Linked DNA regions of Macaca fascicularis. The protein of the gene in region 3 purifies or fractionates together with the protein of the main gene of each other region. This does not show direct contact. Links are inferred from orthologs where the notes say so. Each region holds a gene or a part of one and is shown on either strand. Other genes may lie near its edges.

Evidence for each region.
Region 1: the proteins of RRP1B (region 3) and RPL10A purify together in Homo sapiens (affinity purification with mass spectrometry; 3 studies listed by BioGRID and IntAct, with this or other methods). This does not show direct contact. The link is inferred for Macaca fascicularis from reciprocal best matches to the Homo sapiens genes RRP1B and RPL10A.
Region 2: the proteins of RRP1B (region 3) and SRSF1 purify together in Homo sapiens (co-immunoprecipitation; 3 studies listed by BioGRID and IntAct, with this or other methods). This does not show direct contact. The link is inferred for Macaca fascicularis from reciprocal best matches to the Homo sapiens genes RRP1B and SRSF1.
Region 4: the proteins of RRP1B (region 3) and SRSF6 purify together in Homo sapiens (affinity purification with mass spectrometry; 3 studies listed by BioGRID and IntAct, with this or other methods). This does not show direct contact. The link is inferred for Macaca fascicularis from reciprocal best matches to the Homo sapiens genes RRP1B and SRSF6.

Annotation. Positions count from the first base shown.
Region 1 is NC_088378.1:136,223,996-136,228,237, reverse strand, and holds RPL10A (large ribosomal subunit protein uL1), read left to right. Parts: upstream 1-1,437; 5' UTR 1,438-1,468; coding exon 1,469-1,473; intron 1,474-1,832; coding exon 1,833-1,907; intron 1,908-1,987; coding exon 1,988-2,068; exon of another isoform or gene 2,069-2,326; intron 2,327-2,421; coding exon 2,422-2,570; intron 2,571-3,513; coding exon 3,514-3,686; intron 3,687-3,916; coding exon 3,917-4,087; 3' UTR 4,088-4,117; downstream 4,118-4,242.
Region 2 is NC_088390.1:48,706,053-48,710,380, forward strand, and holds the start of SRSF1 (serine/arginine-rich splicing factor 1), read left to right. Parts: upstream 1-1,493; 5' UTR 1,494-1,602; coding exon 1,603-1,796; intron 1,797-2,204; coding exon 2,205-2,389; intron 2,390-2,756; coding exon 2,757-2,929; intron 2,930-3,129; coding exon 3,130-3,316; intron 3,317-3,689; coding exon 3,690-3,712; coding exon of another isoform or gene 3,713-3,728; 3' UTR 3,729-4,328. UniProt on the Homo sapiens protein: Plays a role in preventing exon skipping, ensuring the accuracy of splicing and regulating alternative splicing.
Region 3 is NC_088377.1:3,421,508-3,425,600, forward strand, and holds the start of RRP1B (ribosomal RNA processing protein 1 homolog B), read right to left. Parts: upstream 2,834-4,093; 5' UTR 2,733-2,833; coding exon 2,603-2,732; intron 1-2,602. UniProt on the Homo sapiens protein: Positively regulates DNA damage-induced apoptosis by acting as a transcriptional coactivator of proapoptotic target genes of the transcriptional activator E2F1.
Region 4 is NC_088384.1:99,544,515-99,548,600, forward strand, and holds the start of SRSF6 (serine/arginine-rich splicing factor 6), read left to right. Parts: upstream 1-1,275; 5' UTR 1,276-1,413; coding exon 1,414-1,520; intron 1,521-1,740; coding exon 1,741-1,889; intron 1,890-2,234; exon of another isoform or gene 2,235-2,530; coding exon of another isoform or gene 2,531-2,682; exon of another isoform or gene 2,683-2,919; intron 2,920-3,148; coding exon 3,149-3,273; intron 3,274-3,412; coding exon 3,413-3,621; intron 3,622-3,897; coding exon 3,898-3,981; intron 3,982-4,085; coding exon 4,086-4,086. UniProt on the Homo sapiens protein: Plays a role in constitutive splicing and modulates the selection of alternative splice sites. Plays a role in the alternative splicing of MAPT/Tau exon 10. Binds to alternative exons of TNC pre-mRNA and promotes the expression of alternatively spliced TNC.

The DNA.
Region 1 (4,242 bases), on a different chromosome or scaffold from region 3:
TCTAGGGTACCAGTGTGCTCAGATGAAGCTCTTGTGCTCGTGTATGTTATGACCTTCTGTGCTTTTGTTTCTGACTTGAATTTATCAATGGTATTGAATAAAAAGCAAGTTCAATAATGTCTTTTTCTTTTTTTTTTTTTTTGAGGCAGAGTCTCACTCTGTCACCAGGCTGGAGTGCAGTGGCGTGACCTCGGCTCACTGCAACCTCCACCTCCCCAGTTCAAGCGATTCTCCTGCCTTGGCCTCCTGAGTAGCTGCGATTGCAAGCTCCTGCCACCATACCCTGCTCATTTTTGTATTTTTAGTAGAGACGGGGTTTCACCACATTGGCCAGGCTGGTCTCAAACTCTTGACTTCAGGTGATCCGCCTGCCTCCCAAAGTGCTGGGATTACAGGCGTGAGCCAGCACGCCTGACTAATGTCTTATTAGAAGCAGTACTTTCCTTCCTGTGAATTCTGGGTATTGAACCCATCCCCACCCCCTCCACCTCCCTGCTCAGTGACAAGGAACATATTTTTCCTGGTGAGGGGAAGGGTGAAGGGTATCTTACTCACTTTCTAAGGGCCAAATAATGTGTAATACCACTCACCCTATCCTACAGGAGCTGCCCCCACCAGGCAGGGGGATAGGTGGGAATGAACATAAAGGTGGGAGTGACTCAGTCTGGAGTTAGGGAAGGGTTTTGGGCAGATGAACCCTAGGAGAGATCTGAAGGGCTCTTCGGGTTACAGTGGGCTAAGAGGATGAGACCCACTGTACAGAGGAAAGAGCAGAGAAGACACCTTAATGGGTGTGCTGTGCTGTGTGCCTGTTTTACATCTTTGTATTCCTGTAGCACCTGGCTAGACGCCTTATTCATACTAGTCACACTTAAAACGTAGATGTTATCAAATTATCAAGTAAAAGTTCACTTTAGGACTTTGCCAGCTCTTCCCTCTGCAGGCGCTGAGAGGCCAGGAACAGAACTTTCCGGAAGCTTCCCTTACCACGAGTCCACGTTAGAGCAAGGTGCTGAGGGAGGGAGGTCTGGCCGAGGAACAAGGCTTGCTTTTGAGAACATAAGCTGATGCGGAGGGCGCGAGGGGAAAGGGGTTTGAGGGACAAGCATGTCGGAATCCACGCTGTCAGTGAACATCACTGGGCTGTACCAGTATGTGTGCCTACCGAAGCTCGAGCCCCGAACGCAGCTGCTTCCCTAGGGGCCCAGCAACAGCGGGCGCGAATCGGCACATTACCGGCGGCCGCGGGGCGCTCAGGGCTGCGACAACTCCGTGGGTTCCCGCGCCGGCCTAGCGGCCCAGCGACTCCACCAGCGGCCGGAGAAGTCCGCGCTTCTCGGGGTTGGCCCACCCAACCTCTGTGTGGGTAGGACCGAGTAACGACGCATTCTCGCGAGATCGGGCCACTATTAGAGCGCATGCGCAAACTGTACTAGTCTCTTTTCCGGTTAGCGCGGCGTGAGAAGCCATGAGGTAAGTGGTCCTGAAAGCCCTATCTGCGTTCATCCGCGCCTCCAGGTGCCCCGCCAAGGATGCGGCTCCTGCAGACCGAACTGCGGGCCCTTGCGCCACCTTCGCCGCGGGGCATTTCTCAAGGCGGGTCGGCCTGCGGGTCGCCCTTCCTACCAGGTCCGATCACCGAGAGGCTCCCTCTTCCACCGGGGTTTGGGTCTGGGTCTGGGCTCCCGTCGCTCTACTTGGTGTCCGGAATCTACTGGGGAGTCCGCCGTGGGCCGCCCGCCCGTCTCGAAGCTTGGAGCCTCGGAGGCTTCTGAGCAGTCTGAGCGTGTGGACTCCGCGGCCCTGAGCGCGCTGTCGCTTCTCTCACGCAGCAGCAAAGTCTCTCGCGACACCCTGTACGAGGCGGTGCGGGAAGTCCTGCACGGGAACCAGCGCAAGCGCCGCAAGTGAGTGCCGATCCTGGGGCAGGGCGCGGGTGGTGAGGGCCGGCGTGTGCTTAACGCTTAATCCCCCTCCTCTCTCGAAGGTTCCTGGAGACGGTGGAGTTGCAGATCAGCTTGAAGAACTATGACCCCCAGAAGGACAAGCGCTTCTCGGGCACCGTCAGGTTGGCACCGTTCTGACCCCACCCAGCCCTCAGTGCCCCCGTGCCTGCCCCTCCCCTGCAGGCTCCCGCTGAGCCGGAGGCGGGCACGTCGGTACTGATGTGTTAGGGTAGTTCAGACCCCCTGCTCCGGGCAGGCGCGGCTGGACGGACCCCCACCCTGGGTCTTAAAACATGAGGGGAGGCGTGGGGAGGCCTTGGCCGAGCCCGCCGGCCAGCCTGACAAGCCAGGCTGGCTGCTGGTGAATGTGAACGCTCCGGGTAAGGCTCGGTGGCTGCTGCGGTCCCACACCCTTCACCGGCCCTCGGGACCCAGGGCTAGGCATAACCTGTTGGTGCTGTCCCCCAAAACGCAGGCTTAAGTCCACTCCCCGCCCCAAGTTCTCTGTGTGTGTCCTGGGGGACCAGCAGCACTGTGACGAGGCCAAGGCCGTGGATATCCCCCACATGGACATCGAGGCGCTGAAAAAACTCAACAAGAATAAAAAACTGGTCAAGAAACTAGGTGAGTCCGGCCGCTGTGGTTTTGCATGTGAGATGTGGGGTGGAGGCGCTAGAAAGGCTTTCCTGCCATTTCGATTTTTAGTGATGAGGGGGCTAGACTAGCAAATGCGGCGGTGGTTGCCTAGCTGGCCTGAGTGCTGTTTTAGCTTTGGGGTGGTTTGATGTTTGTATTTGCTATGAGGATTCCAGTTGATGAGGAAGGCCAAGTATTGTAAGTTGACCCAGCCAGGTGCTGGTGAGGTATGATTTGGAAATCTTACTCTGCGTTGTTTAGGCAGTGGCATTAGATTGCTTTTACAGGTAGGAAGCAGACATTGCCAGTTGTCACGTGTCCAGGGTCCACCGCTAAGAAATAGGCACAATTCAAGCCAAGGCAGTCTTTTTTTTTAGTTATTTTTTGAGACGGGCTGGAGTGCAGTGGTGCGATCTCGGCTCACTGCAAGCTCCGCCTCCCGGGTTCACACCATTCTCTTCCTCCTCAGCCTCCCGAGTAGCTGGGACTACAGGCGCCCGCCACCACGCCCGGCTAATTTTTTTTTTTTTTTTTTTTTTTGTAGTTTTAGTAGAGACGGGGTTTCACCGTGTTAGCCAGGATGGTCTCAATCTTCTGACCTCGTGATCCACCCAAAGTGCTGGGATTACAGGCGTGAGCCACCGCACCCGGCCTGAGCCCTGGCAGTCTTGACTGGGGCATCCGTTGTACAGCGGTTATGCCATGGATCATGGGTCAGCCTGATTTTCTGAGAGCATGTTTTGGGACCAGTGAAGGTCCAGAGGACTTTCTGGAAACCTTTTAGGCGGGGGAAAAGACTGAGGCGGGGGTAGAGAAGGGTGCTGCTTGGATGTCACGTGGTTGATACAAGTGCGTTTCTGGCCAGCCACATTTGAGGTGTGCCTTGGTGACCAGGTCCTAAGCAATGCCAATGGCTTCCTGTCTTTACCAGCCAAGAAGTATGATGCGTTTTTGGCCTCAGAGTCTCTGATCAAGCAGATTCCACGAATCCTCGGCCCAGGCCTAAATAAGGCAGGAAAGTTCCCTTCCCTGCTCACACACAACGAAAACATGGTGGCCAAAGTGGATGAAGTGAAGTCCACAATCAAGTTCCAAATGAAGAAGGTGAGGGGGTCTGGTGGGTTGCTGTGGGTGAAGGTGTTGGCGGGGTCTAAATCTTACCCAAGTCTCTAAATATGCCAGTGAGAGCGCCCACCAGGATTGAAATTTTTGGAGTAACCCTGGTCCTTCCTTGGCCCGGGTCCAAGTACCTGTTCACTAGGCCAGTGAGGGAGGGACAGGCCATTTGCCATTCCTCCACCAACCTGACTTGATCCTCTCTTCTGTCCTCCCAGGTGTTATGTCTGGCTGTAGCGGTTGGTCACGTGAAGATGACAGACGATGAGCTTGTGTATAACATTCACCTGGCTGTCAACTTCTTGGTGTCATTGCTCAAGAAAAACTGGCAGAATGTCCGGGCCTTATATATCAAGAGCACCATGGGCAAGCCCCAGCGCCTATATTAAGGCACATTTGAATAAATTCTGTTACCAGTCCCCTCTGTCTGCCTGTGATTGAGGGTGAGGGGTGGTTTGTCAGCTGACAGGTGAGGGCCTTGGCACTGCCATGGCTCGTTGTGTAGTTTGTCATCTTGATGATGGATAGTTGGGTACTACAGGGA
Region 2 (4,328 bases), on a different chromosome or scaffold from region 3:
TATCGCAAATTTATGACTGCAGGATTTGATTTTGTTGTTGTTTCCCCCTCCTTTTTTTTTTTTTTTTTTTTTTTAGGAGGAGTCTTACTCTGTAGCCCAGGCTGCAGCGCAATGGCGCGATCTCGGCTCACTGCAACCTCCACCTCCAGGGTTCTAGCGATTCTCCTGCCTCAGCCTCCCGAGTAGGCTGGATTACAGGCGCCCGCCACCAAGCCCGGCTAATTTTTTTTTTTTCAGTAGAGACGGGATTTCACCATGTTGGCCAGGCTGGTCTCGAACTCCTGACCTCAAGTGATCTGCCGCCTCTACCTCCCAAAGTGCTGGCGTGAGCCACCGCGCCCAGCCTGATTTTAATTTGAATTCATTAGCGACGTTTAAAAATCCCAGGATTTCACATAAAAATCCAGATTGCAGACGTCGAAAAAAAATGTAAAATGTTATCTCCCAATGTCGCAGGCAAATAAGATCACAGTCCTGAATAGCAACCGCGGTCTCTAGTGGATACGGCTCTCATCCATTTCGGTCCATTTTATTACCTGGGAGGACCGGTATTTTCAATTTCAGTAACTTTTAGAGGAAACTTTTGAAAAAAGGACTGCACACACGCACCTTTTCTTCCTTCTCGTTCTTTAAAAGGAAACAACAGAAACAATTCATTCTGCAGGCAATCTGCGCTAGTCCCACGGATAGGCGATTAACAAGAGATAAAGAGGTGTGGGTACCAGAAGCAGTACTGTTACCCCTTCTGGTTGGCGGGTACCACGTTGAAAGGTCGGGGTACGGGCCCACTGCGACTAGCACAAAGAGTGCTGAACTGAGCTATGCAAAGTTCTGACGAGAAGGTGGAATGGTTCTTAATGAAAAGGATTAAGGAATCTAAACCGGTTTCGCTAAATTAGACACATCTGTCTAAGCAGCCACAGCTTGTTCGCAGCAGGGGCGGGAAGACAAACCAACGCCCCAGCTCTCTATTCAGTCACCGGCAACTCAGCTCTGGACCAGACGCACTCTACGAAGATACCCGGGTTTCCGGAGCAACGGCCCGAGCCCTCCCCCTTTAGCCCCGCCTCCGAGTCTCTTTCCCGCCAAAGGCCGTTATCGCCGCAGAGCATGGTGGGACAAGGCTTTAGGCTAGGTTTCACCAAGTCCTTTGAAGGCGCCGAGTTGCTTTCAAAGCTCCTCATTCCTGGGGAAATTGACTATCCTTCAAGACTCGACCTGGATGACTAGCTCCTTTAACGAGAGTTCTTTATTTAACTTTTACCAAACGGCTGCTCACTCTATTCGCAAACCACCCCAAGCGGGGAACGCGGGGGACTTTTTTTCCCCCTTCGTGCGGAGGGTGACGTCGCGCGTGCGTGCGCGTGCGTTGCGCGTATCCCTCGCAGCACCCGTTGCGCTCCCGCGCGTGCGTGTTGGGATCGAATCGCTGTTTCCTTCCGCTTCTCTTCCTCTGTCTCCCCCCCATATCCGTGCGCCGAGCTGATAAAGGCGCCATTTTGGAGGGGCCGCGGGAGACGTGGTGCCGCTGCGGGCTCGCTCTGCGGTGCGCTAGGCTTGGTGGGAAGGCCTGTTCTCGAGTCCGCGCTTTTCGTCACCGCCATGTCGGGAGGTGGTGTGATTCGTGGCCCCGCAGGGAACAACGATTGCCGCATCTACGTGGGTAACTTACCTCCAGACATCCGAACCAAGGACATTGAGGACGTGTTCTACAAATACGGCGCTATCCGCGACATCGACCTCAAGAATCGCCGCGGGGGACCGCCCTTCGCCTTCGTTGAGTTCGAGGACCCGCGGTGAGGCGGCATGGGGCTTGCAGCCTTGAGGAAATAGGTCCGAGTAGTCGGGGAAGGCTCCAAGGCCTTAACATAGAGAACGGGGAAGCGGGGGCTCTTAGAGAGGTTGGGGCGAGACTGTATCGCCCATGCAGGAGTCGAGTAAGGAGCTGAGTTGGTGTGGCTTCTCTGGCGCCTCGCCTTGGACGTCCCCGGAGCCCATTCGCAGGCTGGAGCGGGAAACTGAGGCGCTGAGGGCTGGTGTAGTGGTTGGGAGCCTGGCGTGTTTCTGGGTGGGGGAGGGGCCATTCCTATTATGCGGCGCATGTGGGCTCTTCCACGTTGGGTGCGCATGTGCGGGGGGTTCCCGACTGAGCGAGCTTCTCCTCCTGGTCTTTCTCATGCCTTTTACTTTCTGCGATCCCGCAGAGACGCGGAAGACGCGGTGTATGGTCGCGACGGCTATGATTACGATGGGTACCGTCTGCGGGTGGAGTTTCCTCGAAGCGGCCGTGGAACAGGCCGAGGCGGCGGCGGGGGTGGAGGTGGCGGAGCTCCCCGAGGTCGCTATGGCCCCCCATCCAGGCGGTCTGAAAACAGAGTGGTTGTCTCTGGTGAGTGTACTTTGTTGTGTGGATTGATGTGAAGGGACGGAAGCTACCTAAAATTTTTGTCTTGCATGATCGGTTTAACAATTGCAAATTTTTCATGCTAGGTGTTAAATTGCTTTAGTTTTTGGGTGAATTTAATAAACGAGGATTGCTGCTGTGGTGATTTACCAAATTAGGTTGCGGTACTAGATACGAAGATCCGTTACAAATAATTTTGGACTCTGGATCCCAGAATCTTACCAGCTCTTTACCTGGTATCACTTAAGTACACCTATTAAGTATTTTAAAGTACTCTTTGTTCTAATGTATCTTACCAGCTTAACGTGAAATTTAAGATAATTGATACTAAGAAAAAAAATCACTTTTTCAGGACTGCCTCCAAGTGGAAGTTGGCAGGATTTAAAGGATCACATGCGTGAAGCAGGTGATGTATGTTATGCTGATGTTTACCGAGATGGCACTGGTGTCGTGGAGTTTGTACGGAAAGAAGATATGACCTATGCAGTTCGAAAACTGGATAACACTAAGTTTAGATCTCATGAGGTAGGTTATACGCTTATTCTTTTCTTTGACCAGAATTGGATACAGTGGTCTTAACAGTGGAATTTGAAGGTAAGAATTCAGGCAAGGGTGTCCAAGTAAATTGCCAGATTTCTGGTTGTAGTTGCATTGTATGCATTCAGCATGCCTGAAGATAGATGAAAGCTTAGATCTTTCAATGGAAAGTTCTGTCTATCCAATAGGGAGAAACTGCCTACATCCGGGTTAAAGTTGATGGGCCCAGAAGTCCAAGTTATGGAAGATCTCGATCTCGAAGCCGTAGTCGTAGCAGAAGCCGTAGCAGAAGCAACAGCAGGAGTCGCAGTTACTCCCCAAGGAGAAGCAGAGGATCACCACGCTATTCTCCCCGTCATAGCAGATCTCGCTCTCGTACATAAGATGATTGGTGACACTTTTTGTAGAACCCATGTTGTATACAGTTTTCCTTTATTCAGTACAATCTTTTCATTTTTTAATTCAAACTGTTTTGTTCAGAATGGGCTAAAGTGTTGAATTGCATTCTTGTAATATCCCCTTGCTCCTAACATCTACATTCCCCTCGTGTCTTCGATAAATTGTATTTTAAGTGATGTCATAGACAGGATTGTTTAAATTTAGTTAACTCCATACTCTTCAGACTGTGATATTGTGTAAATGTCTATTCTGCCCTGGTTTGTGTGAACTGGGATGTTGGGGGTGTTTGTGGTTATCTTACCTGGGGAAGTTCTTATGTTTATCTTGCTTTTCATGTGTCTTTCTGTAGACATATCTGAAGAGATGGATTAAGAATGCTTTGGATTAAGGATTGTGGAGCACATTTCAATCATTTTAGGATTGTCAAAAGGAGGATTGAGGAGGATCAGATCAATAATGGAGGCAATGGTATGACTCCAAGTGCTATTGTCACAGATGAAATTGGCAGTATTGACCTTATACTAAAAGGCAGGGGTTAAAAATGATTATATACGTTTTCCTTAAAACACTTGCAAACATTTTATTCAGTTATCTTTAGCTACAATTGCTTTGCTCTTTAAACCTTGGCAATTGTGGCAAAATTATATTGCCCATTTTGTAGCAACTTATTTTGCTCCCTTCCCCCCATTTTTGTTTTAATAGGGACTAATGTGGGAAGAACTGGCTAATTTGTCACAGTGCTTAGTTACAACTGTTAATGTGTGACCTGCTGTTGGTGTACATGTGGGTACAGGGTGTCTTTAAATCCAACAAGATAGAGTATAATATCAATACTGCTAAATCTGCATGTCCTCTGTGTGACTGATAGAGCGTTGCTATTTCATTTTTTTAAGACAAAATGAAAGCAAAATATAGAGTTCCAATGTATTGGTGTAGATAATCTAGTTGGGAATACTTTTAAGTCTCACCTTCCCCTTTAAACTAATAT
Region 3 (4,093 bases):
TGTTTTCTTGTCCCATTATCACTGTCCATGACGTTCACGCTGCAGAGTTATTTTTTGAAGGCCCAGTGTACTCCATGCCATGTGGTGGTGAACAAGACGTACAAGACAAGAAACTCTGGGTGTGACAGGCACTAACCAGACAGGACTCTGGAGCACTGGTGTAAACTGGTCTTAGGCCCCCCGCGTAACCTCAGCATCTGCAAATCCTGGGCTGGCTCACCAAAGGGTTTGAGCAAAAGGCTCTGTCTAGGCTGTTTTAGCACCATAAGTATTGCTTCTTGTCTTCTACTTTTGTATAGGCCAAGACCTTTCATGGCTGCATGTACTCCCACTTCTGGCTAAGAAAACAGATGGAAGCTTACACTGTTTTGGGAGTAGAATGGCACATTGATAATTAAGCAGCAATGTAGCTAAGTGCTGCAACAGAGACACAATGGATGTTTTAGACCCTGGAGGAGTAGGGCGAGATGCTAGGGGAGGCTTTTTGAAGGAAGTGATACTGAACTGAATGCTGGGAGTGAAGAAGGTGTGGGATTCTTTGCAGAGTGAACAGGAGAAGCAAAGGCAGAGAGGTGAGAAATTGTGTGCTATACACCAAGATCCATGACTGGTTCTATTGACAGAACATGAAGCAGTCACATGGGGCTTAGGGAGGAAGAGCACCTGAGGACAGATCATGACTTGCAGACACTGAATTTCAAAAAATATTGGTGATGTGGGATCAGATTTGTTTTAGGAAGATGACCCTGGGCTGGTCTGTGGAGGACAGATTCGGGGGGACACAAATGAAGTTAAGGAGACCAGTTAGGGAATATGCAGGTGCAGAAGTTTGGGTGAGATGCAAAGGGCCCACAGTCAGAGAATTTATTTCACCAGGAGGCGAAGGAGGGAGGACTGAGGGACACTGGATGTGGGCCAGGGGAAGAGGATGAGGAAGACAGAGGAGTCCAGGACAATCCCCTGCGTCCAGCTGGAATCCGAATGGCTGGTGGGAACTAGCAACCAAAAGAAGAGAAAACAGGTGGTAGAGGAGCAGCAGCAGACAACAGGCTTTCGGGGAAAGAAAATATGATGTTTTTTGGCATCCTGAGTGTGAGGTGCCAGGTAGAGAAGCCAGGCTAGCAAGGCACATCCCAGTTGCAAGTAGGAAAGGGCTGGGTCAACAATTTAGGTTTAGAAACCACCAGCATATATGGACTACCTGGAACTGTAAGAGTAAACAAAATCTCTTAGGGACATCCCTAACAGAATCAAAGTCAGGAATTTTGGTCTTCATTCCTTTTTCTACCAGACTTCCCAGGAAAGTTTATTTTCTTTTTTTGGGTAGTCTGGTGATTTTTCTTAAAACAAACTGAGAATGCCAGTAATGGGGGAGATAATATCTGTTCTTTTAAGCAGATTCTAAATGTATTAGTACCATCAGTAACTAAATCAAACTTTATCTTAAAACCTCTGTCACACATCGTAGTTCATATCGTATGGGCTCACTCAAGAGTTTACAGAAAATATTCTTGGATCAGGTAAATGAAATCATTCAACAGCAGTGCCGTTAAAATCTACACTACAAAGCCCTGTGTGATCTGGCCACTGCCTACAATCTCCAACTTCATCTCATCACACTCTCCCCGCCCACCCACAACTTAATTGGTCTTTCAAACCACTCCTAGGGCACGTGAAGCTCTTTCCTGCCTCTGCATAGGCGCTTTCCGCTCATCTCTCTTCAGATTTCAGCTGAACATCACCCGAGAGGCCTTCCCAGAACAGTCTATCAAGAAGAGCAACCTCCTTCACTTCTTGCTATTACCTGGTTTTCTTTCTTTCTCTCTTTCTTTCTTTTTTTGAGACGGAGTTTCGCTCTTGTTGCCCAGGTTGGAGTGCAATCGTGCGATCTCGGCTCACCGCAACGTCCGCCTCCCAGGTTCAAGCGATTCTCCTGCCTCAGCCTCTCGAGTACTGAGATTACAGGCATGCGCCACCATGCCCGGCTAATTTTGTATTTTTAGTAGAGCCGGGGTTTCACCATGTTGGATTGGCCAGGCTGGTCTCGAACTCCCGACCTCCGGTCATCCGCCCGCCTCGGCTTCCCAAAGTGCTGGGATTACATGCGTGAGACACCGCGCCCGGCCTACTACCTGGTTTTCATTTCCTTTACTACACTTACACAAGGTCTACTTTATTTGCCTGTTTGCCTCCTTGCTTTATTACTAACAAATCCTCGAGAGTAGTGCTTCTGTCTTCTCTCCTCCAGCCCCGGCACGTAAAGGTGCTGGTCAAAGAAAGGCGGCAATCACCGACCGGACACCAGGGCAAATGAGGGCAGCCCAGTGATTCGAGATGCCGGCTGGGGAATCGGACCCATTGGGTCTTTTCTCAGCTTTCCCGCTTACTGTGACTTTCACAAGTAACGGAACACCCTCAACCCGTTTCCTCAAGTGTAAAAAGGCACTAGACACAGCAAGAAGCGGTTCTGGCAGCGCGGAAACCTAAGCACACGCTGGGTGTCACGACAACACGTGGAAGCCGCGTTCCGTGCCAGGGCCCTGGCCCCAGCCCCGGCCCCCGGCCCGCCATGTGGCGCGGCTGACCGCCGCCGTGCGCCCACCTGTCTCCCTCTGCGTCTTCACGCTGATGTACTGGCGCAGCTTCTTCACCGCCCGGTCCCGAATGCCCTTCTCGCTGGACGCCAGCCGCTGGGCAAACTGGATCTCGGCCGGCTGCATGGCGGGGGCCATCGCGCCCGCTGGAGCATCCCCGGCCGCGCAACCCGCGGTGCAGATGCCGCCAGCCGAGCGCCGCGGAGCAGCCAGCCGCCGTCCGCCAGGGCCTCGACTGCACAGAAGTCGGCGACGGCGCGCGAGTTGATGGCGTCACAAAGGCGCCGCGGCTCGCAGCGCGCTCTGGGAGTGAGCGCGGCCGTGGCCCTGGCAGCGGGCGGAGCGGCCCATCTCTTGTGCGAGTGGCGCCGGCGCTGCCTTTCGGTTGCCAAAATTCAGGCTGTACACGGCGAGGTTAGCCAGGGTTAGGACTTGGCCAGGAAGAGACGGACGGCTGTTTGTAAACGGTCTAGGATTTTTTGTTTTTGAGACAGGGTCTCCCTCTGTCGCCCAGGCTGGAGTGCAGGGGCGCGATCTTGGCGGTGATCTTGGCTCACTGCAGCCTCGACCACCCAGACTCAAGCGATCCTCCCATGTCGACCACCCAAGTAGCTGAGACTACAGGCGCGCGCTATCACGCCCCACTACTTTTTATTTTTGTAGAGATGGGGTCTCGCTATGTTGTCCAGGCTGGTCTCAAACTCCTGGGCTTAAGCAATCCTCCCGCCTCGGCCTCCCTGAGCGCTGGGATTAAGGGATTGAACCACGGCGCCTGGCCACAGTCTAGGATCTTTAATCCCATTTAGCACACCCCGTTGAGCCAGCAGCTCACCTGCGATCTCCGTGGCACGGAGTTTTTAACTGTGGAGCCCCCGGGCCCCAGGGTGGAGTTGAGACTGGAAGGAAAGGCCGGCACTGGGGCCTGTTGAGCGGGTGAAGGGCTCACCTTCCGCCAGCGCCTGCAGAGGCTCGGGCAGGTCGGCGCGCCCCTTACTCTGGAGCCCTAGTGCCAGTGCTGGGGCACCCGCGCCGGCGTCCCGAAGCCTGGAGAGCACGCGCGCTTCCAGGGGAGTTGGGCAGGGCGGGCTGCTTGCTAACTCCAGAGAGGGAAGAAATCTTAGCTTTGGGTTCATCTAAAACCCAAGAACATCCTATATTTTGCGGACTCAGCGGGCGTGCCGGGGCAAGCTAATGGACTAGGTCACTCCACACGTAGCGGGGGTTATCTCAGTTGCTCCGCTCAGTTATGTGGGCGACCTCCCGAGGTGCCTGTTGACACAAAAATTCAACCCTTAACATAAAAGCGCCTGAATCCGAGCGAGGGAAGGCGAACCGCGGAGGCGAGGTTTCCAGCAAAGACTGCCAGTTTGAAACGGTCCCCCTTAGTGTAGCATTCCTCGCCAAACAGGAAAGGACTCTTCCGATTTATTTTACTTGACACTTACATCAGGGGCTGACTTTCCTTCTGCTTTGCAGATAACCCCGGCTAAATTTAAAAC
Region 4 (4,086 bases), on a different chromosome or scaffold from region 3:
GCTTCCCAAGGTGTGGGGATTACAGACTCGTATTTTTTGTTTATCTAACTTTAAGCATGGCCTCTACCTCCCCCAGTCGTGACAACAACAACGTTTCCCTCCAGACTTCCAAATAGCTCCAGGAGGACAAAACCCCCCTTTTTCAACCGGGAGCTGAAGGATATTCAGGTTGCACCACTCAGAGCAGGTATACAAAAATATCTAAAGAGCTGATGTTATCTCAGTGATATCCCTTCCCTTTTTTTTTTTTTTTTTTCCGCTTCGGTGACACCCTACTCTCCTGGTCTTCTCCCTACCTCGCTAGTCACTCCTTCCCGTCAGTCTCCTTTCCTGTACTTAAATTTCAGAGTACCCCAGGCGTTGGCCTGGGTCTTCTGCTCCCCACCTAAACTTAAACCACAGGTTTTCATCTGGTTCTCCAGCTTTAAATAGCATCTCCCTTGATAAACTCACAAAATAAGGCACTTTCAAGTCAATGGAAGAAATGATAGTATTGGGACAAAGGACTTTCTATATACGGGAGAAAAAAAATTGTTCATCGCTGTAGGAGGGCTGCGGGGTCTCCTCCGCGCTCCCTTTTGAGCACCTACAGTGAGCGTAGGATTCCCACGGACACCCCAATCCACAAGTGAGTCAAGTTGACAGGGCTCCAAGAAAGACCCATGGAGGGAGAGGGGAACGTCCGGGGAGGCCAAGACTGAAGAAGGCTGCGAGTGAGACTTGGAGAAGCTGATGGCGGCTCTGCAAGTTCGCAACGCGACCCCCGCCAGGTCAGCAAGACCTCAGCGCGTGATCCTCGGATTCTGCGAAACCGGACCAGCGACTGGGTCCGAGAGCGCGGTCCCCACCAAAACGAGCACCAACCAATCGCTGGGGGAAACAGGCAGCCTCGTTTTAAGCCGTCAATCAGAGACCGCGGCGACCCATTATAACCACCTCGAGAACCAATGAAAAACGGGGATTCTCTCAGCCCGCCTCCCGAGCTTCAACCCCAAAGAGATCGATCGCGCAGTTTTATAAAAGGTACAAATTAGAAAACAATTCTGCGGCTGCATTAGAGACACTGTGTTTTCAAAGACGGTGGGGAGGGCTGGAGAAAAATCCTAGAAGCGAGCAAGACCGCACTACACCGAAACGTCGCGGGCAGCTGACTCGCCAGTCACCATTTAGCCCAGGGCCGACTGGGGACGGACGTGCCGCTGCGCGCTGACGTCACGCGCCAGGCCCCGCCCCACTGGCCGCCCATATAGCGTAAGCCTGGCGCGCGCGCGCATCATTGTGTGGCTGGACTCGGCCGCCGCTGTGGTGTGAGGCGCGTGTTCGGGCTCTTGCCGTCCCCGCACCTGCACCGCGGCTACTGGCTTGCGGTCCGCCGTTTGACAACCAGCCCTTGGGCCCCCGCCCGCCACGGACATGCCGCGCGTCTACATAGGACGCCTGAGCTACAACGTCCGGGAGAAGGACATCCAGCGCTTTTTCAGTGGCTATGGCCGCCTCCTCGAAGTAGACCTCAAAAATGGGTGAGTCGAGCCTGGGCGCCTGCCCCCAGCGTCCCAGGCCTGGTGGCGGCGGGAACTCTCCAAGGAAAAAGGCGGCCAAGGCCGCGGCGCCGCGTGGCAGGGCCTCCAAGATGGCGACGGCGCGGCGTCGCGGGGGCGCGCTGAGGGGTGCGGGCACGCGCACGGGCGCGCCCTGGCTAACGACGCCCCCGCCGTTGTCCGGCCCTGGCACCGCCCCCAGGTACGGCTTCGTGGAGTTCGAGGACTCCCGCGACGCCGACGACGCCGTTTACGAGCTGAACGGCAAGGAGCTCTGCGGCGAGCGCGTGATCGTAGAGCACGCCAGGGGCCCGCGTCGCGATCGCGACGGCTACAGCTACGGAAGCCGCAGTGAGTCCCACCCCCGCGCGCTCCGCGCCCTTGGGGACCCTGGGGGCGGGCGGGGGTGGGTGGGTTGGGGCCTCCCAGCCCGGGCAGGCGCGAGGGCTGGGGGTCGTTTGACTCGGGTGTCCCCGAGCCCCGCTGCCTTCATGTCTGCCCGGGGCAGCCATGGGACGCCGGAGCGCGGGGATTGGGTTTGGGTGTTTGGTTTTATTTGCGAAGTTGGGCGGGGGGTGGCTTCTTCTGGCCCCTTGTCAGCACTGTCACAGGTTCTAACCACAGAGGAAGTAAGGAGTGGCTGTATTTGTTGTATTCTCCTTACTTACCTATCAGTGCATTAGTTAGAGGTTCGGGGGCAGGCTGGGGTGGAGGTGGGGTAGGGGGGCGGGGGACAGGGAAGGGAGGAGCTTAAAGTATAGGTCTTAAAGTTATGGAACTTGATGGGGGCCGAAGAATGTACTATTTTTAAGTAATGTGGTATTGTACCACAAAGTAGATCTAAATAAGCTTTATGCTGTATTTGAACTAACTGGGGCATGTTACTGGGAGGAGGTTGGGGGGATTTTTGGTTATGTTAAATGTTTGATGTTTAAATTGTTGCATGTTGAATTCAAACTTTTTAACAAGTCCTTGATGTTTCAATTTGAAAGTGACCAATGGGGCTGAGGCTGTGTCCACTGAGGCTAAGATGACTGCCTTTCCTGATTGGCCTTGGCTTTTCCATACATTGTGTGACCCTTGCCCTATGACCCTTTGGCTGACCTTACCGGAAGCCATGACGACAGCAGCCTTTTGCCATTAGACGCAGGGTGATGGTGAGGATTCCAAGGGTTAGACAAAACTGGTTAATCTGAACTAGGTGACTGTTACCTTGCGTGTTTTGTGGCCAAACCACCACCAAAAACCTCACACTGTGATGTAAGTACTTAGTGTAAAACTAGTAAACATTTTTGTAAAATGTAGAAATGCATGTAATCAGTTAAGTTTTATATTTTACAATGTTCTGTAAAATAAAACTTAGCGAGGTAAATCGAATAAAGGAGCAGTCACTCTCTAACAGATTGTAGGAGAGGTTTAGTTGGATTTAGTCTATTTGACTTGCCCTTAATTTAATTTTATGGCAAATCACAAATGTGTCGAAGGTTTAGCAATATAATAGCAAAGTCCTACTCCAGTAAATAAAAGTTGATATGTTTGTACTAACTTTCAAAGACATTATGCGTTTTTATCATTACAAGGCATCTAATTGTTCCCTTCATGTGATAAAGGTGGTGGAGGTGGATACAGCAGTCGGAGAACATCTGGCAGAGACAAATACGGACCACCTGTTCGTACAGAATACAGGCTTATTGTAGAAAATCTTTCTAGTCGGTGCAGTTGGCAAGATTTAAAGGTATGTGCTATAATTCAAGATACAAAGGATACGACTAATGCTTTAAAGTAAACTCTTATTTACATTCTTATTTCTGGGAATTTATTATAGTATATAGATCTTTTAAGATTTCCGAGTCTGACCAATCTTATCATTTCAGGATTTTATGCGACAAGCAGGTGAAGTAACCTATGCGGATGCCCACAAGGAACGAACAAATGAGGGTGTAATTGAGTTTCGCTCCTACTCTGACATGAAGCGTGCTTTGGACAAACTGGATGGCACAGAAATAAATGGCAGAAATATTAGGCTTATTGAAGATAAGCCACGCACAAGCCATAGGCGATCTTACTCTGGAAGCAGATCCAGGTAACTTGTTGAAGGACACTGTGGGGAGGAAACAGAATATTTGACAATAAAAAAGGGAAGTAATGGAGTAATTTCAATTGTTGCCTACTTGAATTAAAGCCAGCTTTTAGTTTGTTTTGGCTGTGCATCATTGGGTTTTTTTCTGGATGTTTTGAAGGTGTATTTAATTTCGTAGTAAAGAAAAACATTATTCTTTGGCTTATCTATTTTTGCCAGATGGCACAGGTGTATTTAAGATGGATTGAGATTAAGACTTCATTGTTTTTCTCCTAATAGGTCTCGATCTAGAAGACGGTCACGAAGTAGGAGTCGCAGGAGCAGCCGCAGTAGATCTCGAAGTATCTCAAAAAGTCGCTCCCGGTAAATAATGTTGTGTTGAGTCATTGTGAATATTACTGTACTTGTTTATGGAGTACGTGTATGTTCTTACAAAGTATTGAGAGAATCGGTCTTTCCTTGTCCAGT